Notamacropus eugenii: one gene and its partner. The protein of the gene in region 2 purifies or fractionates together with the protein of the main gene of each other region. This does not show direct contact. Links are inferred from orthologs where the notes say so. Each region holds a gene or a part of one and is shown on either strand. Other genes may lie near its edges.

Region 1 (10,013 bases), on a different chromosome or scaffold from region 2:
GGACCTCATCGGCAAGTCTGGTGAAGACTATAATACTTAGAAGAATTTTTGTTGCCTACATTAACATTGATGGAAAAGCTAAATTTCAGTTAAAGATTAGTCTCTCCCTCTTACTACTGGTGATGTTGACCAAATCACTTAAATAAAGTCTCTGGGCTTTACTTTCCTCATCTGTTAACTAAGAGGATTATATTCCTAACTATTAATCTATGCAGCCACATATAAGGAGGAAATGAAATGTTGACCAGCAAGTTTTGGGCAATACAATAATTTGATTTGTTTTGATCTGTGTATCATATCAATAAGAATTTTGCAAAAACATAGATAATGATATAAATAGTAGCTGTCATTAACAGTTATATCTATTGATCTATCGATTTACCTATCTATATCTTGAACCAAAGTCAGATAACCATAAGGACAATCCTAATAGGGAAAAATGTAATCTCAAGTGTTTTCAGTAATGATAATCTAGGAGAAGTAGCAGGGGATAAGAGATAGGGGGCTGGGCTTCAGTGTGGGTTCTTAACCTGGTGCCCATGAATTAAAAAAAAAAAGAACTTAATAGCTTTTAAAATGTAATTAGTTTCCTTTGTAATCCTATATATCTTGTTTTATTTATTAAAAATGATGTTTCAGGAAGGGCTTGCTAGGCTTCAATGCATTATCATTGCCTATGACAAAATAAATATGAAGAAATCCTGGCGGTGGCAAAGAATTGGAAATTGCAGCGATGCCCATCATTTGCGGAATGGCTGAGTAAGCTGTGTGTGATGGTGATAGAATACTACTGTGAGATAAGAAATGATGAACTTAAGAAAAAACATGGGTAGACCTGCATAAAATAATGAAGAGTGAAATAAGAAGAACCAAGAGAATGTTGTATAAAGTGAGAGCAAAATTGTTGTAAGAACAACTTTGAGTGAATAAGTCATTTTGCCTATTATAAATACTCAAATTAATTTCCAGACATATGGAAGTAGATGCTATCTGCACTCAGAGAAAGAACTGATAAACAGAAGTATGAACAGAATAATTTTACACACACACACGCATGCACGCATGCATATTTGTGTTTAATGGCCATCATCTCTAAGGCATGGATGGGGGAGGGAAGAAAAACAGGGAAAATTTATATGATGACTTTATTATATATTTAACAGGAATAGCAAGCTCTACATAATAGATTTGCAATTTCATATGCAATTATTTTTATTATACTATGTTATGAAAGTGCTTGTTTTACTCCATAAATTTAAGATTAAATATAGAAAAATATATTTAAAAAAGAATTCCTGGCTTAGAATCTCAAAGATGTGGGTTCAAACACTGTTTCTGACATTAGTTGTTGTTGTTGTGTTTGTTCTTCCTTCTTGAAGAGGACCATGACATCAAGATGATGACATGACTTGCACTTGACTTTGATATGAGTGAGGGAGAGCTGTGCAGGTCACCAACCTCACTTTCTCCTCCTGAGCCATCTGGATCCAGTGGCCTGATATTCATTAGGATGACTGGAGATGGCCCAGGATGCAATGTGAGACCCTGGCCCTTTCAGGCTAAGGTCTTATAGCATTCTCACTTTGAGTGAGATAGATTCATTCAATGAATAGGCTTCTTTAAGTAGGTGCTCAAGGAATGGCCCCTTTAATCAAAAAAAAAAAAAATCAAACTGGGAGGGGAAGACTCTAAAGCTTCCTGGTAAAAGAGAAACAATTACAGTTGTATTACCATGAGCAACCACTAAACCACCTAAAACTCCCTAGTATAGAGTGGAGAACACTGGCTGGCTCTCTAGCCAGATAACCAGGGTTCAAATGACCCCTCTGATACTACTTAAATGACCTTGGGCATGTTACTAACCCCTCCACCCCAGCCCTAATTTCTTTATCTCTAATATGAGGTTCCTGTACTACATGCCTCCAAGTTCCCTTTCTCTTCTAGGACTACTAAGTCACAGCTATATTGTAGCATGCAGTGATCCCACTCTATATCTAGTTAATTCTAATTTACCCTGACTTTTTTTGGGGAGGAGAGGAGGGGTCAAGGTTCTCCCCACCCAGGTCCAGCTTACAGTACCCATGTGGCCTTAAGCAAATAATTTAACTTTTTAGTCTGGGTTTCCTTATATGTAGAAGGAATGGTTGCATTAGATGATTGTTGGGACTGGAAGCTCAATTCCGTGTGGACAGTCTCGGGCAGGTAAAAGTGGGACTTCTAAATCTTAGAGTCTTACGAGGCCCTCCATGAACAGCGGGGGTTCGAGAAGGTCAGACCGAGCTAGCTCGGCTAGCTCGGGTATTTCCGCCTCTCCCCTGGAGATATGTGATGGGTGGAGTCTCCCTGCCCTCGAGGTCGTCCCGGATTGGAGCACACCTAGTTACCTAACAGCACGGTATTGAGATGCAAACTGTGTGGCTGAAGGTTAAGTAGGATTGAGGAAGCCTGAAAGCTCTCTTAGCACGTGTGGAGCCAAAGAGAAAAGTAGGGCTCCGCTTCTTTTCTTTCCTCTCTCCCCTCCCCCTCTCTCCCCGCTTGTACTTCTACTTCCAATCCCTTAAGCTTAGCCTCCTTAGGAAATCTCCCCCTCTTCGTCCTAAGAAAGAAGACCCCCTGCACTTGTAACCGAAACCCTGTAATAAAGCTCAACCCCTGTTTGACTCTGGAACGTCCTTTCTCTCATACGTGCATCCGGCGTGGCCAGCCGAAGACCTCGGAGGTGAGGTAAGGAAGACTCGGGTAGCCCAATACAGGCCTCTAGGCTTGGCAGATGATCTCAAAGTTCCCTTCCAGGTCCAAAACTAATGGTCCTCTGAATTGATCTGCATCCTTTCTTGAGAAACATTTTCACACAGAGCAAAGTCTCAGTCTGAAATCCAGTTGTGGAAAAAAAATGCACTTCATAAGTCAGTTCACTGCTGATACTATTATCTTTCTTCATTGTAGAAAGATTATCCTTGGACCTACTGAGGAAATGGCAGCTATTTCCTAAATCACCCCTATTGTGATGACACATTGCCTTAATCAACCATTTTCAGCGGTGAGTTGGAGACAAGCTGGGTAGCTCCTTACTATGTCCAGGCACTGAGAAAGCCTCTTCTTGACAAACACAATTGTCCTTGCTTTCAAATAAAACAAATACTCTTTCATAACCCATTGGGCTTTTCTGAAATGTAGCCATAGATAAAAAGACTAGTCACCATGGGGTAAGACAGAGTAATCATGCTGAGGGTCTAGTAGAGAAAAGTCATAGTCAAGAAAACTTCACAGCTAGGTGAGACTGGAGTTAGATTGGTTTTCACAAATGATGCCTTCTGTTATCACGTCTTTCTGACTTATTTGGCTCCAGCTGACCTTAAGTCTTGGGTACTGGGGACTAAATTGTGTAATAGGAGACTAGGTTTTTTCAACTGGGTCTGTTTCTAGCCCTTCTCTCCCCAGATCAATGAATCACTCTAAAAGCATTTATCATAAGGCTTTATTACATGCCAGACACTGAAGACACCAAGGCAAAAAAAGGAAACAAGACCTGTCTTCAGGGAGTTTACACTTTATAGTAGGAGAGAGCAAATACATAAATAAATGCCCATAGATGGTATCAATATTAGACTGGACCTGTGATTTTGCTGGATAACTTCCCACAAAGAAACTCCCTCTATCAATGAAAATCAACATCAGCTTGGCAAAATATAGTTGATTGGAAAAGGGTAGATTTCTTGTAGATAGAGGAGAGAACAGCTTGTTTGAAGGTGTTACAAGAAGACAATAGGGTACCTTTATAGGACAAATGTTTCATAAGTCTACAAAGGTAGGTTGGAACCAGGTTGTCAAGGGCTTTAAATGCCAAAGTTTTTGTTTCATCCTGGGGATAACGGTACCATTTAACCTCTCTGGGCCTCTTTTCTTCATCTGTAAAACAAGATGACTGGACAAAGTGGTATCTCAGGACTCTTCTAGCTCTCAATATATGGTTCTACAAATCAACGATATGAACAAGATCTCACAAGAGGAGCAGGCATGATTGGGCTAACATCTGAATCACTGGAAGGAATTCTTAAATTGATGAGATCACACTAAAATTTTGATTGGTATATGAAATAATGAGAAACAGTATGGATGGCATGGTAGAAAGGGAGCCAGTATCAAAACCAGAGAGACACAGGTTCAAGTCTCACTTCTGGAACATAACTGGCTATATGACTCTGGTCAAGTCACTTAATTGCTCAATGATCTATTTAGCTCTCAAAACTATGATTTACAGAGTGTTGACCTTCATTGCTTGTAGGAATTTTTTCATCTGGGAACAATCTAAATTAATCCACAGATCCAGCTCCTACGACTATTTGTAATAGTCAAACAGAAGAGTTCCTTCAGGAAGACTTCTTCTTCTATTAGTTTTTACTACAATTTATCTGTTTATGTTCAAGGTCTTTGAGTTTTTTTCTTCTTAGTACTTTCAGTCTTTTCCCCTCTTATTTTCTTTATCATTCACTTCCTGACTCCCTCCCCTCTGATTATGGTTTCTTTAGGTGCTGGATTTCAAAGCATCTCAGACTCCTACCACACTAGACAATTCACTGTTCACATCCCTAGGGACCTGTTGTATTCTCTCCTTCCTCAGTTCTCTTGGCTAGGCACCAATACCCCAGAGCCTATCCCCACTCCATCTTCCACCCCCACAGTTAGGCCAGAGCTTTACTCTGTGGGTGCTTCTAGGTTGCCATCTCAGGCAGACTTTTGCTTTTGCAAGGCTGTAGCCAAGTGGGCTGTTTAGTACTGAACAAACTTCTACAGCCTGGAGCTGGGGTATCCATGACTTTGAAAAGAGGGAGTGGCACTCAAGGTACAGGGGTGGGTTTTCATGGAAGCTTTTGTCCTGTTCTTGGGTGTGCTAGTAAAGCTTCACTTGAAATAGCATGGGGGAAGCAGTGATAAGTTAGCTCAGGGATAGTGAGTGTTAGTTCTTGTGTGTATGTGTGTGTGTGTGTATGTGTGTTTTAACTTCATTTGGATTCTTTGTGTCCTAGACCATGGGGATAGTTGAAGTTACTTTCTCTTTGTCATGTAAATTCTATTTTGGAGAGATTTGAGAGGTCATGGGAATCAGAGAAAATGTGTAGCCATTCTTTTTGTTGCTCCTATGACCATGAAAAAAAATTATAGGGTTTTTTTTCCTAAAATGCCTCTGTGGCCATAGTTCTTCAGACTGTCAAGAGATGGGTTTTCTGTAAAGCCTGTCCCTTGTATTTTCCAGGATACATACACTAGCCCCTGAAAAGAACTGCATGTTTAGAAACACTAGATAAGTCTAGTTTAAAGGTGTGATACTTTTATGCCCTTTCCATTTTTCTCCTCATCTCTTTCTTTTTTTTTTTCTCCCAAGAGAATGGGGCCCTAGGAAGTTGACCTGTGTGACTAGGAAGCTGTGTGACTTGTTCAAGGTCACACAATTAGTAAGTGGCAGAGATGAGATTTGAACTACTTTCTTTGACTCTAGAGTCCTGGTTTTTTTTTTTAAATTTCATTTTAAAAATTGTGCCATGCAATCGAACACAGTCCTCCCGCTGTCCTCTCTTTTTCCTAATCACCAGCATGAGGAGAATAGATTAGCTACTTTGACAGAACTAGTGCTCTAAGTAGGGCAGGTTGCAATTCAGACATTCTCCTCTTCCCATCTTCCCTGCTCCTTTCCTGGAATGTGTGCGTGTGTTTGGGCTGGTGTGGGAAGGGGGAAGCCTGGCTAGGCTGCTCATCTGGGAGATGACGAGAGGGTTGGTGGCGGGGGAACCGAGGCAGGACCGACAGTGTTCGAAGTCTGGAGTGCAGCTACTGCTGTCACGCTTTTTACCTGGTACATCAGCATCGCCAAAGCAATGAATGAGGGAGAAGAGGACTGGAGCTGTTCGCTGCTGCCACACCCAGACCACAGTTAACCCCAGCTCTTTCTGTCTCCAGCCCCGTGGGAAAGAAGGCTCCTCCTTCAAGGAGCCGCGGTGTGGCACACCGCACGCCTGCCAGGGCCTGAGAGAGGTCGGAGGGCGAACCGAACCGCCAGTCCCCGCTGGAAGCAGCGCGAATCTTCCACCCGGGGCACCGCTGGATGCCAGCGAGTGGGGTGCGGGGCGAGGCCAGAGCAAAGCTCGCCGCCTTGCCGGCTCTTTTCTCTGCGGGGTTTCTCTCTGAGCCTTCGGGAGCCAAGGGCAGGCGAGCGAGTGTTGCGTGAGCCCGTGGGAGCTGTCGGGCCGGCCCCTAGCAGAGGCAGCCGCACCACCAACGGCCCTGGCGCTGCATCTGGGCAGCCAAGTGTATGTGTGGATCTATCTGCGAGAGAGCGCGTGTGCGTGAGGGGGAGAGCAAAGACGTGATTACTTCAGAATTTATTTAAGGACCGGTGGAAACCACTGCAGCAGCTTCCAGGGGAAGCCCCTGGCCGCCGGAGAGAACGCGGAGGCGCACGGAGAGCGAGCAAGGGGAGCAAGCGATGCCTTAGCAGCCCCACGGAGCCCAGTTTCTGTACAACGCGCGCAGGCAGCAGGTTGGTTGGGCGGGCCAACTTCTTAGAGTGCTTGGGACAAGTAAGCCTCCCCACGAGGCTTGGGGAAGATAAGTGGGTGTGTGGAGGGGAGGAGGGTGGAGGGCGTGTATTACCTGCCCTTTGGAGCCAGGAGCGCATCTTATAAGTGCATTAAGAACAGAACCTGGAACAAACCTGTACAGGATGGGGGCAGGAGGGAGGGTGAATTCCTGCCTAGCCTTTCTCACCTACTATGGGGTTCCTTTTTACTGTTGCTTTGGGGCTAATGAATGCTCACTAACAACTCCTTTGTAGAGAAGGTGGCTACTCAGAACCAGGTGGGGCGCTCTTCCTCCTAACCCCCCCCCCCATGCTTTTCAGTGCCCACATATTAAGGGACACAAGAGTGAGTTTATTCACCTCTAGTGACCCAGACTTGGGGGAGGGGGCGGGGACGGAAGGGAGAGATAGTTGAGATTTCTGGTCCATTCGATTAAGTTTTGGAAAGTCAAGCTGCTTCGTCTGTCCCCCTCCTGCTGCCTCCCTTGCCTCCCCTTCCAGCTGTAAGCGTGGATTGGTGTGGAGGCGGTTGCTCCTGGAAAGGGGCCGCTGGGGCTTTAAGAGCCGCCTCCCCCCTTCCTCCTCTTGACAATGGTCTGAGCCGAGCTCTGCTTCCCAAAGCAAAATTTGTAATATGCCATTTTTCCGATGGACGCTTCTCCTTTTGGCTGCTGAAGATGCCGGGATACTGCTGCTGCTGCCTCCAAGTCCAGACACTTGCCGGCGAAGCGCTGGGGCCGGGGGTTTTCTCTGAGCCACCTTCCTCCTACCCTTGCTAGGGAAACGGTCCAGGAGCGGCCGGCGTGAGCCGACACCCCCTCCCCAACCCCCCTTCAAGCCGGTGGAGACTGCGGTTGTCAATGATCAATTGAAGGAGCAGACGCCCAAACACAGGCTTTAGGTACCATATCTCCCGGATAGCTCCACGCGCTCTTTCTTCTTCTTCCACCCCCCCCCCCGCCCCACCCCACCCCCAGGGAAGATGTCTGTAATACAGAATTCATCCTGGCTGGCGGCTTTAGTCTTCCTTATCTTCTTTCTCTTTTCTACTTCCTCTACTTCTTTGCCCTCGTCCCTCTCCCTATGCTCCCAGTTGATGCTGGGTGGTGAATTTTAGCGTGGAGATCGCGAAGTCAACTTCTGGGTGGGGGGGTGTGGCCGCTGGGTTTGATGTCCAGGGGAGTTTGAGAGGGAAGGGGCCGGTCCAGTGAGTATTAGGACATATGCTAATCAGTAGGGTGAAGAAAGTGGGAAATGCTTCCCTTGGAAATGACAGTCTTTTCTCCGGAAGACGTCAAAGAGTTAAGTAGGAGAGGGAATATGCATGCAATGCCACTCAGACAATGGCAAAGATTTTCTCTTGCTGAATTACTCACTCCCGGTAGGTTAACTGAGGTGGAGCCCATGGGGTTCTTAAGAATCAATCATTGCAGTAGAAACTCATTCTTACCAATGACTACTTCCTTGCCTTTGCTGAGTTTTAAATTCTGATGAGCTATTGGGATGGGTAGAAATATTCAGTGACATCCATCAAGGAGTTTAAGTCTTTATAGTCTATGTCACATCTGAATAGGTCCTTCTTGGACTCTTGAGATCGACAGAAAACAATTGCTTTCCATTCTGAGCCTGGATCCTGGAGTCCAGCTGGCATCCAAAACTTTTATTTGGAGACCAGAGGGATATGAAAGGCAGTCAAGGTTATGGTCAGAGGAACATTTTCCTTGTTTCTCATTTTGATAAACTGAAATACTTCAAGGCCAATTCAAACACCAGTCACCAAACTAAAGTGCCTACATTTATTTTCTTCCTCCCCTTCCCCCCCCCCCCATTAATGATATTTCTAACTCCCCAATCTGACCTAAGAGTTATCTTCTCGTGAAAACAGTAACAAGGAGATTGATATACTATATGCATCTCAAGACTTTTATGGCAAATTTTAAGCGTCATTCCCTGCTGTCCAGAAGAGTACTTGCATATTGTCAAATGTTAACAAATGCATTTAAAAGCCTAGATAATATGATGAGGAGAGGGTGCAGATCACAATGAGCCATGTAAACTCCTTCATCTATCATCCTTTCTGCCACTAGGTCTTTAAATTGTTCAATCTATCTAAGTTGATAAACTGCCTATAAAAAACAGAGGGATATGTTCAGAGAATATTGCAAGTGGAGTTTCAAATGATGACATTCATTAGAAAGAACTGGAGTGTTAATATACCAAATGGAGCTTATACATAGAAGTGGTCCTTTTTTATTCTCCTTGGTGGCATGATCCTTTAAAAAAAATCCTTCCCCCTTTTCTAGTGGCTATTTATTGCATAAAAAATGATGAAGTACAGGATTTTAACTGGATGAATTGTACTACGGTTTAGTCTGCTTTTGTGATTATAGATAGATAGATAGATATATGTATTACATATAATTTGTCTTAAGTATTTGAAAATGATCTATTCTGACAGCATGATGTTTTTATTTCTTTTTGTTTCAGATGGAATTCTTTACAAGTCTTTTTTATATATCATGAAAGTTTAGGGATGCAGGTATACCATTTATTCCTTTTATTTCCCAAGTAAGCAGCAGTGGTGGCACATTGGGATTTCAGAGTAGGGATGCTGGCACATGTAGTGGAACTAATGTTTCATCACTGGGGCAAAATGTGCCCACTTTTTATGATGGAGTTAGGCTACTGTGCTCATGAGAAGATATTTTTGGTTGAGAAAATCAAGGTCTAGCTTTATGTTGGTAAGTCTAAAAGTTGCTTAGTTATAAAGCAGCTATAGTACAATTGAGCCAGCATTTTCTTGAAGTCTTGTGGTGCCTTGGAAAGATTAAGATTGATTCTGTATCATTTTCTCATCCTCTTATTGTGTGGAGATTTGCCTCAATTTGCCTTCTTCTTAAACTTCAATATAAAGGAATTATCTGCAGTTTTATTAGCCTATTTGATTTTCTTTAGATTTATTTTAGTTAAATAATTGGAGAAATAATCAAGGTTAATAATTTGGTTTTTCAAGCAGGTAATACCTTGAGTAATAGAATAATGAACTCTCATGTCCCTCTAATATTTTATCCTATGGGCAACTATACTAAGCAATTCAAGTGTTTTCCCCTTTAGTAGATGTTGTCAAAGCATTGTAATTTTCTGTGGCCTAAGAGTTGATTTTCACTTTAAGTACTAGAAAGAAAGCAGTATGGGCTTCTTAGGATTATTTTTGAGATTGGCATAGCTGTTCACTCTATTAATTTCATGCATGGCATGTATACTAATAGTTTTTGAATATTGAACTATCAGAACATCCCATGTATTCCTATTCCTTAGCAATTTTGAAAAGCAAAATTTTGAAGGCACTTCTTGCATTCTATATTCTTTTCCCTGATAGTTTCTGATGGCAGGTAAAGATGAGAAAAATTCAGAATGCTGTGTTTTTACCTATTAAGGG
Region 2 (11,072 bases):
GAACAAAGGACTCCCTTAATGATGGTCTGCTTACCGAGCTAACTCTTGATGAGAGCAGAGGGAAGAGAATGAAAATCGCTGCCAACACTTGACACCCCTAACCTCCCCCCTCTCTCCCCCTGCTTATTTACGCCTATAACATGCGAAAGAGATTGTGAAGAAAGGGAAAACACTGGGCAAAGAGGGCAGAAAACTTGGCCAGGTGATTTCTAAGGTCCCTTTAAAGGCCTCTCTTCTAAACTATTTCCATGTAACAATTCAGTTGCCTCATTTTCCTTAACCAAAAAACAGAACAAACAAATCTATGCATTAGAAAAATTAATCTAGCAGCCCATAAAGTCTGGATTTGAGAGGGGAAGAGGCTAGAAGCAGGAAGATCTCTTAGGAGCCCCCGCTGATAGTAAAAGCAGTCCCATCTACGAGCCACATTTTATCCTTTCCTGTGGAAGGAGATTAACAAAGCTATTACCTGCTGGCCACCACTTCCAGGAAGTCTTTGGCAAATGGGAATTAACTCTCTCTCCCATGAGTGACTCATCTCTCCAGATGAGCATATAGTCTCTGAGGACAAGACTGTTATTCATCAGTGTCTCAGGAGCACAGGGCTTAGCCACACAAGCCTTTAGATCAGAGCTGGGAGGGCCTTCACAAACCATGCACACTCCCCTGACCTTGCAGATGGGGAAACCACTGAATAAATGAATAACTGGCTTCCAGCCTATTTCCCTTCCAAGATCCCCCCGCACCCCCAGCACCATGGTAACAATGCTCCCTGGCACTGGTGGAGAGCTTTAAGGTTTACAAAAGGCATTTCATTCCCATTCGACTCCGCAAATGTTCTCCAAGACTGAAATCAAGCAAAACCATATCATTCCAGGCATCAGCTGCAAAGATAGAAAGGTGGGAGAGCATAGGCTGTCAAGAGAAGATGGTGAGTGAGGGTGACCACTTTGGCCAGGGCCTAAGGGTACATAAAGAGAAGTAATAGGAGATTGGCTAGAAGGGTAGGATGTGGTCTAGCAGGGAAGGCCTTAAATAACCAGAAGAGTTTGAACCTTGGTCTTTGGGCTGCAGGAAGTCATTGAAGGCTTTTGAGCTCAGGAGTGCCATGAAAAAAAAATCTACTATTGGGAAGAGTAATGCTTTCCCTCTGTTAATTATATCCTATTTAGCCTGTACATAGCTTGCTTTGTGTATAACTGCTTAGATGTCATCTTCCCCATTAGATTTTAAACTCTGTGTGCGCAGGGACTGACTTTTGCCTCTTTTTGTTTTCCCAGTGCTTGGCACATAGTAGGCATCTAATAAATCACAAATTTAGGGCTGGAAGGACTTAGAGACACCAAGCCCAACCACCTCATTTCAAAGATGAGGAAACTGAAGGTCTCAGAAGTCAAGTGACTTGCCCAAGATCACACAGCTAGTAAGTATTTGAAAGAGGATTTGAGCTCAGGTCTTCCTAAGCCCATGTCTAGTACCATATCTACCATTCTTAAAACCATTAAGACCTAGATTCTAACCTCAGAGTACTATCTAGGTGGCAAATTAAAAAGCCAACAATTATAATGGAAAACAAACTCTCTAAATGCCTAAGATAGAGAGAAGCATGAGGTCAAACACGGTTTTGGAGAAAGAACAGATCACTTCCAGCTAAAGTGACCAGAGCAGGCTTCCTGGAAAAGATGACTTTGAAGTTGAGCTTGTAAAAACACAAAGCATGGGGAGCACTTCAACAGATCTAGAATGGTAAAGGGAAGGAAGTAAGGCCACTCCAAGCAGAAGGAATGGTCCATCTAGCCTGGCTGGTGGGGACAGGCGAAGTATATAAGGGAACTGGAAAGAGACTGTAAACTCCTTAAGAGCAGGCACTGTCTTTTGCCTCTTTTTGTATCTCCAAAGCTTAGCCCAGTTCCTGGCACATAGCAGGCATTTAGTAAATGTTTATTAATTGATGATGTGATTGAAGAGATCACAGGATTTAAAACAGGAAGAGGGAGAGGTAGTATCTTAGGGATCATCTAATCCAAATCTTTCATTTTGGAGAAGAAACAAAACTCAAGGATGTTGAGCGACTTGTTCAAAGTCAGGAGGGAAAAATTAAATAAGAGCTGGGATGTGGACACGACCTCTAATTCCAAAACTGGTGCTTTCACTATATCAACTACATGGCTCTAATAGGTTAAAAACCCTAAATCAGATCCTCTTGGCCTGTGGGAAAGCTAGGAAAGGTTGCTAACCAAGTGAAAGACTGCTTCATGGCTCAGCTTTAGGGAACAGCCCTGGAAACTGGAGTCTGAAGACTTGGATTCCAGTTACTGTTCCGCTACTTAGGAGCTAACGACATGACCCTGGGTGAGACCTTTTCCATAACTCTTTGGGCTGGCAAGGCTGAGGGGCAGAGGGAGGAACTATCCAAAGACCCTCTGCTCCCAGTGTTCCCCACTGTAAGCCATCCTTCGTGGGGTGGCCTCCCAGGTTCATCCTCCTAATTGACATCCAGATTCCATGGCACTCCTGAGCTGAAAAGCTTGTGGTTATTTCAGACCCTCCCGAGTCAGGCCCCACACTGACTGCCCTTCTAGCTTCCCTCACGTTATTCCCCTTTATTCCCTCAAGCCTCCACAAAGCGGTCCATTCCCGGTAAATTCTCTCTACTCTCCCACCTCCACGCCTTTGCAACCTATGCCTAGAACGACCTCGCTCTTCTTGACCCACAGAATTCCCACCATCGAGTCCGTCCCACCTCCTCCAAGAGGCCTTCCCCGACACCCCCCCCCTTCTTTCCCCCTCGGGCACACAGCATACTATCGTGCTTTAGTTCTCCCCACACTAGGGCAGGAGCCCCCCTGGGGGGAGGGGGCGGCCCCGCAGCCTCAGCAGGAGGAGGACCCTAAGGGAAGGTTGTTCTGGATTGGAGATTCTTCCCCGTTGTACAAACAGGGAAACTGAGGCCCAGGGAGGGGCTGTGACTTCCCCAAGGTCATGCAGTGGTCAGTCAGAGTCACGGGCACAAACAGACGTCCGACTGCACTACGCCCAGCCCCCAGAGGCCCGGGTCCGGGTCCCACCCGGCCCCAGACCCCGCGGAGGGAGCAGAGGGGCCGGGAGCCCAACCTGGGCCTCCGAGCCTCGGCCTGGCTCTGTCCAATGGAAAGCCGCCAAGGGGGCGGGCTCTCCTCGGCGATTGGCTCGGCTCGCCGTTCAGCATCACCCCCGGAGGGTACTTTCTCTACCCAGAGGGTCATAGGCTTGAAGAGGGGTTGGGGGAGAATCAAGATGGAGAAATGGGGGGGGCCCCAAAAGCACCACGGCCTAGGCTCCCTCGAGAGGCCTGGACCCAGCTGGGGATTTAATCCCCAAGCCACCAATTAGGAACCTCGGAGGAGCTAAGCCCCGCCCCTTGCAGGGGCCGCTCCCCTGCCTTAACCCACTGGGGGGTCCCCGCTTTCCGTCCGTGCCCAGAGCGAATCGAGAGGCTCTTTGCTCGCCGCGAACCAATTAGGTGGCCCCCTGCGCGCCGTGAGAACCAGGAGTGCCAGCCAATCAGGGGTTCCGGAGGCAGCCCCCGCGCCCGCGCTCCCGCCCCCTGACAGACCCGCTTGGCCTGGGGTCCCCGGGCCGGGCGCCCCCTCCCCAGCGGCACCGCTGTCCAATCAGAGATGCTGTCTCAGCGAGCCACGGAGGCGCGAGACAAGCGACGCGGGCGCTGATTGGTCCGCTTTCCCTCCCCCCACCCCCAGCCCTCAGATGCCAAGAACGCCGAGCCAGCCGCCCGCGCCGCCCGCAACCCCAGGACCCCCGGGCCCCGATCCCGGCCCTGACCTGGACGTCCTCGTTACGGAGCTCGTCGATGAGTACTGCGATGGGATAGAGCGAGTCATCGCCGTCGGCCGCCGCCATCTTGGCTCCGTCCCGCTCCCGTCAGGCTTCGGCAGCCGAGCCGAGCTGAGGGAAGGGAAGGGAAAGGAAGGGAGTGGGACGGGGCGGGGCGGGGGAGGGGCAGAGACACAAGCAGAAGGGGGGGGGGGTCTCCCAAGCGACTTTGCAGGGGTTTCTGGGCTTCCATTGGCCAGTCCGCACGAGGCACCGCGCGCCCATTGGCCCGAGTAGACAGGGACACGCCCCCTATCCTCTATTGGCCAGGGGAGAAAGGGGCCTTCTCTCTAGCTGGCCCACTTCCCGTAGAGGGGCGGAGGAAGAAGGGGCGGGCTGCTGCCACTGGCATCCTAGCAACCGAAGTGGGCCCGCCTCCTCCTAATCGATCTCCAAAATTTCATTGGTCATCGCCCCTAGCGACAGACCGACTGCAGCACATCCTGCCAATAGGAGGTGACGGACGGTGACGAGACTCGGCCTAGAGGAGGCCGGGCTCTTGGAGCGGTGCGATGACGTCATCTTCGGGGACTGAGAATGCGCGCTCCCACCCTGCTTCTCCCCCTGGTCCGCGCTGCCAGGTGCAGAACCTCGGCATGGGCGTGTCTGGCTTCTCCCAGGAAGCTGACGTCAGAGCGGGAAGGGCGTTTAGAGATCACTTAATCTGATTACACCTGAGCCCTAAGGAGTCGAGCTTCGTGATTTCACGGAGTATACCCTCAGTTGTCAAAGGCAGCGTGTTGTAATGGAAGGAACCCTGTGCCTGGGTTCGAATCCTGCCTGTGCCCCTAGTTCTCTGGGCATCCCCGGTCAAAAGCCCTCCCTGGGTTTTCCCCTCTGTAAAACGGACTAGAGAGACCCGAAGGTTCATCTCAGCTCTGGCCCTCAGAGCATTTACTGAGTGACTGCTGAATACAAAAGAAGCAAAGAAAGTGGGTCAAAGAACAGGGCCTCAGGAAGCTTCCAGGAGCTAGCCAGAAGGGCAGCCTATGGACACGAGAAAGTATGATACTGGGGCAGAGGAAGGAGGTGTTGGACCTGCTGGCTTCCCCAAGAACGGGGCCTCAAGAAGCTTCCAGAAGCTAGCCAGAAGGGCTAGCCTATGGACACGAGAAAGTGTGATACTGGGGCAGAAGAAGGAGGTGTTGGACCTGCTGGCTTCCCGGGTCCCTTCCAGCTGTCAGAGCCTGAATCGAGCGTAGACTGTCAAGCCCATGGCCACCTTAATTAATGGCAGTGGTACAGGGAGTCCTCAAACTCTCAGGGCCATTTTCTGTTAGCAAAGGTGTCAAAGCTTCCTGTTTACAGAACAGGACCCCTTCTCATTACAGATGAGACTCAGAGACAGAAAGGGACTTGCCCAGGGTCACACAGCCACAGTGTCTGTGGCAGGATTCCAATATGGGTCTTCCTAAGGCCAAGTCCCACATTCTACCAGAGTGCCAACCCCTCTCTGCTCAGGTCCCATGTTTCTGCTTGGATAGAATCCTAGACCTGGAGTGAGGTGAGACCTAAGAAACCAACTCGTCATTTGTTGTTCAGTCATTCAGTCTTGTCCAACTCTTGGTGACCCCATTTGAGGTTTTCTTGGCAGAGATACTGGATGGGGTTTGCATTTTCTTCTCCCTTTTACAGATGGGGAGACTGAGACAAACAGGGTGAAGTGACTTGCCCAGGACCACACAGCTAGTAAGTGTCTGAGGCTGGATTTGAACTCAGATTTTCCCAACTCCAGGCTTGGTGCTCTGTCTGCTGCTCCTCCTAGATGACTATCATCTCATCGTAAGAGCCTAGATTTGGAGCTTTAAGGGAATCTTGGAGGTCTTCTAGTTCAGCCCTTTCTTCTTTCAGATAAGGAAACAGAGGCCAGAGACATGAAATGATTCTTCCAAGGCCATACAGTGAATCAGTGGAAGCACCAGGATCTGACTCCAAACTCAGTGGGTTTTCCTGTTGTTTTTTGGAGAAGGTGGTCCCTGAGCTGGGGTTTGAAAGAAGATAAGGTGTTCAGCAGGTGTGGGGGAAGGGGAGTGGCTATGCCAGGCATAATGGAGAGCATGAGCAAAGGATCATGGGCAGGTGAGAGTGGAGGTAGGCAGCCTGGCTCAGGGGAAAGGTGCTCTGTGTGAAGGGAATGGTGAGAGAGAAGACTGGACAGGTAGGCTGGATTGTGGGAGGCTCTCAGTGCCAGGATTGAGAATTTAAGATTTTATTTGGGAGACAACCTTCTAAGGTTCCTCCCAGCTTTGACCTCCTACATGCTGAGTTTTGCCCCAGCCCTGACATCCCATGTTCCAAGGGCTCTCTCAGCCTAACATTCTGGGTTCTAAATTCCCTGTGATATTCTATGATTCCATGATGTCATCTTCTCCTTCATTCACACTGACCTTTCCAACTATCCTTTCCTCCTATCTTTCCATATTCCCCTAGGTCCTTGTTCTCGTCAATCTCTTCCTGTACCCTGCCTTCTCTTCCTCGGCCTGTGTATAGGTGTAAGTCTTCCTCAACCTACAAACCTTTCCACTTCCATCCATCCCCTCTTTGTCATAACCAGACTGCTAGAAAGAGTCATCTGTACTCCACTGCCTGCCCTTCCTTACTGTCCATCAAACATCAAGCATTTATCAGGCCTCTAAAATATGCCAGGCACTGTGCTAGCCACTAGTGATTCAAAAACAAAAATCAAATGTTCCCTGCTCTCACAGGGGCTGACATTCTGTCAGAGTGCTAGGGAAAGCCTAATGCCAACACCTATAGTTCACGTTCAAGAGTGGGACTAAATGAGACACTTACAAGTCATTGAACAGTTGACCAAAGGAGGTTTCCTTTGCTATAACCAGAAAGGATAAGCAACAAGAAGATTGACTTCTTTGGACTCAGCCCCACTTATCTCCATATGGAAACACATTTGGTGGTCAAGGCAGGCTATGATGATTTCAGAAACCTACAGATTCAGAAGGTCCTGGCTCCACTTGGACAGGATTTTCTATGCCCTTGGGTACCTAGGAAACTGAGTAGGGAGGAAGGGCCAAACAGCTGCTAGGGGCCATTTAGTTGCCTTTTAGAAAAACTAATCCTTGATTCTAGGAATCAGGGGAAGCAAGGTTGTATCACTCAGGGAAAGGGAGAAGTGTTTGTACAAGTGCAGACAGACTAGAAATGCACCAGTCTCTATGCCCTTACAATCTGACTTCCACTCAGCCCACTGAAAATGCTTCCTTCTGAAGTCATTCCTCGTCCTTCTTGTCAACTTCTCTGCAGCATTGCTACACGCAGGAAGCTCCCTCTTCTTCTGGATCCCATCCCCTAAAACTCCTCTTATGCTCCTCCCTGACAGTTCTGCCCCTCTGAGCACTGTGCCTCTGTCTCCTTGGCTGGCTCATCACCAGCCTCAAATTCCCCAAGTCTGGAGCTTCCCAATGGGTCTGTCCTTGGAGCAAGTCTCTCCATATTCTCTGCCTTCTCCATCATTCCTGTGATTTCTGTTATCACCTCTGTACATTGACCAAGCACAGTGCCTGGCACACAGTAGATATGTGGCAAATGTCTGTGCACTCCGATCGTTAAATCTGTCTGTCCAGCCCTCTGTGCCCTGTCTCTGACTGCTGTGATGGTTGTCTGGTATGTATGTGCCCAGATTTCTTCAACTTACTCAGTTGATGCAACGTGGAGAACCTGAGAAATGAGGATCTTTCTGGGAAAACAGTGAAGACATGTATGAGGGAGCTCTGGTGGGGGGGGTAGGGACCAGATCATGCATGGTCATTCTGTGACTGGTTCCCACTGACTAACCAGATCACAAGGCCAAGGAGAGCCTTCTTCAGACGTGCTGGCATTTCCAAAAGGCAGGCCCCAGCAAGCTCCAACCACCTCCACTTGCTTTATTCACAACATGGGGAGTGTGGTGGTCATAGGGCCCCAAGACACCAGCCTTGGTCTCTGGGCCTTTTTCTTTGTTCCTTTCTGTTCTAGGTCTGGGAAGCAGAGTTTCCCACTCATTTAGGGGCAGCAAGCATTCGGATTATGAGAGTCACAATCCAGGCCAGATGAGGCCACCAGCCCCATCAGTTACCCCAGGAGCAAGGAGAGATTTGGGGTAATGAACTGTGAGAGAATTCATCCAGCACTCTGGACAGTAACTTAGTGGGCCCAGAGCCAAGGAGGCCCCCAACTAAGATTTGAGCCTTCTCTCTCAGAGAACAAGGTGATGTAGGGAAGTGTCTGTCCCGGAGGGCTTGGCAGGCCACAATATAGAATTTCAAGAGTGTCTACTAACAAAGTGGGTCAGTGGTGACCTCCAGAAGGCCAGTGAGGCTAAAGCATGACAAGGTATTTTATAGCAACGAACAAGATTCCTGAACAAAATTTCAAGCTGCAGAAGAGTCTTATTCTGAAAAGCCAGAAAGTCAAAACCCCTAACCTCAGTTTGAAAATACCATCTCTTGGATCTCTCTTTATAAACACCGCCCCCCCTCCACTCCCAAGATCACCAGGCAAAGATATGACAACCCCACCTAGAGAGATGGAAATAGTCTACAATTTAGTTTAAGCCTGTTCTTTTCCCACCATGTGGGTGGTATGTGAAGTTATAAGGGTAAAGATACAAGTTACAAGATAAGAATTGTAACTCAGGTGACTTGAAGTTACCTGAGTGAAACTTTCAAAGGGGAATATTAAATCTAATTTGATAAACTATAATAATAGAATTAAAATCAATTTTCAATTTCACAATTTCTTCTTACTGTACCTTTGAAGCAAAAATAAAAAATTCCCTTTGCAAAAGCCTGTGTTAAATTGTTCAAAGGAACTGGGATGTTAGATACGAACTCCCTAACAACAGAGGGAATAACAGCCTGAGGGGACTTAAGCCTCAGGGTTGCCCTGGAAGCCTGAGGTGAAATGGAATAGGCCTGGCCCTGGTTACAGGACATCCCCTGTGCACCTCCATAGAACCTCGAGCTAGATCTCCCTCTCAGTCTGCTCTTTCTAACCTCAGTGTTTCTTTTGAGGGCATGACCAGGTTCTCAGACTCCTCTCGTCCTAAGCTTGCAGTGTTGCAAACCTGAAAGGGCTAAATAAATTTTAATCTGATTACCTTGACTTTTCCTTCTTGTATTTATTGTAGTTGTTCAGTCCTATCCAACTCTTTGTGACCCCATGGCCCCTATGGAGGTCATTCTATCCTCCACTGTATCCCAAAGTCTGTCCAAGCTCATGTTCTTTGCTTCCATGACACCGTCTACCCATTTCATCCTCTGCTGTCCCCTTCTCCTTTTGCCTTCAGTCTTTCCCATCATCAGTGTCTTTTCCCCTTGAGTTCCATCTTCTCATTATGTGGCCAAACTAAAAAAGCCTGAATCAATTTCTTTAAGTTTTAACTGATTTGATCTCCTTATTATCCAAGGGACACTCAAAAGTCCTCTCCAGCACCAGCTTTCAAAAGTGTTGATTCTGCAGTGCTCAGCTTTCCTTATAGTCCAGCTCTCACAGCCATACATTACTTCTGGAAAAACTATAGCTCTGACTATACGGACCTTTGTCAGCATGGCGATGTCTCCCTTTTTAGTACGCTGTCCAGATTTGCCATAGCTTTCCTTCCAAGGAGCAAATGTCTTTTAATTTCATGGCTGCAGTCAGCATCTACAGTGATCTTTGAGTCCAGAAATATAAAATCCAACACTGCTTCCGTTTCTTCTTCCTCTCTTTGCCAGGAAGTGATGGGATCAGTTGCCAAAATCTTAGTTGGTTTGCGTTTTTGGTTTTTCTATGTTAAGCTTTAAGCCAGCTTTTGCACTCTCCTCTTTCTCCCTCATCAAGAGGCTTCTTGGTTTTTCTTCACTTTCTCCCATCAGAGTGGTATCATCTGCACATCTGAGATTGTTCATATTTCTCTCGGCATCCTTAAATCCAGCTTTGAAGTCATCCAGTCTGGGATTTCCCATGATCTACTCTGCATCTAAGTTAAATAAACAAGGTGACGTGTGCAGCCTTGTCTTATTCCTTTGTGAATCTTAAATCAATCAGTTATCTCATGTTCATTTCTAACTGTTAATTCTTGACCTGCATACAGCTTCCTCAGGAGACAAGTACAATGATCTGGTACTCCAGTTTCCTTGAGGACTTGCCACATTTTGTTGTGATTCACACAAAGGTTTCAGTGTAGTCAATGAGGCAGAAGTAGAGGTTTCTCTGAGACTCCCTTGCTTTCTCCATAATCCAGCACGCCTCTTTGAGGACCATCCTACTCTTCTGATAATTCTTAATTCACATATTCCCGAAGCCTAGCCTGCAGAATCTTAAGTATGACCTTTCCAGTAGGTGAAGTGAGTCCATTTCTTCAGTAATTTGAGCAGTCCTTGGTGTTATCTTTATTTAGGATTGGAACATAAAGTGATCTTTTCCAATCCAGTGACCGCTGCTGAGTTTTCCGAATTTGCTGGCCTCTGGAGTGCAGCGCTTTACCAGCATCACCTTTCAGGATTTTAAATAGCTCAGCTGGCATTCCATCCCCTCCACCAGCCTCACTACTAGCAATGCTTCCTGAGGCCCACTGGACTTCACCCTCCAGGATGTCTACCTCTAGATCAGTAACCACCCCATCATAGTTATTGGAGATGTTAAGATATTTCTTGTGCGGTGCGTCTCTGTATTCTTGCGACTCACTTTCTGCCAGAGAGGGGAGAGATATAAAATGCAGACTGGGACCAGCATCGCTGCTTTGCTATGAAAAATTTTTTATTGTTATGAAGGTCTCCTCCTTTTCTTTTTGCTATTTACCTCTCCCTAACCCTCCCGAAAAAATAAGACACAAATGGAGAATAATCATAAACAAGAGGCATTTGGCACTCAGTTGGCATTTAATGAAAGGTTATTTAGTGAATGAATACTTAGAATTTGGGATCACAGAACCTCAAAGTAATAAACTCTGTTATTTTTGAAGCCCAAACCATAAAACTATAGAAGTCTTGAACTCAGGACCCTTAGATCCCTAGAATTCTCATTCCTTCTAAGACCTCTTCAAAAAATCTGGCCTTGGTCAGATGGGTGTGTAAAGAGAAGGGAGGACCACCAATTTCTGTTCTGGAGGATTCTCAAAGAATGGAGACTCTCACCCTCCCACAGGCACAAATGCACTGCCCCATGGGGAAGAAATCCTTCCCCATCAAGCATCCAATAATACTTGTTGTCCCTCCCTCCTT

What was found. Proteins that work in one complex are often made in the same cells at the same time.
Region 1: the proteins of PPP2R1A (region 2) and PPFIA2 purify together in Homo sapiens (affinity purification with mass spectrometry; 3 studies listed by BioGRID and IntAct, with this or other methods). This does not show direct contact. The link is inferred for Notamacropus eugenii from reciprocal best matches to the Homo sapiens genes PPP2R1A and PPFIA2.

Annotation. Positions count from the first base shown.
Region 1 is NC_092874.1:262,150,068-262,160,080, reverse strand, and holds the start of PPFIA2 (liprin-alpha-2), read left to right. Parts: upstream 1-5,905; 5' UTR 5,906-6,535; intron 6,536-10,013. UniProt on the Homo sapiens protein: Alters PTPRF cellular localization and induces PTPRF clustering. May regulate the disassembly of focal adhesions.
Region 2 is NC_092876.1:25,190,578-25,201,649, forward strand, and holds the start of PPP2R1A (serine/threonine-protein phosphatase 2A 65 kDa regulatory subunit A alpha isoform), read right to left. Parts: upstream 4,016-11,072; 5' UTR 3,901-4,015; coding exon 3,823-3,900; intron 1-3,822. UniProt on the Homo sapiens protein: The PR65 subunit of protein phosphatase 2A serves as a scaffolding molecule to coordinate the assembly of the catalytic subunit and a variable regulatory B subunit.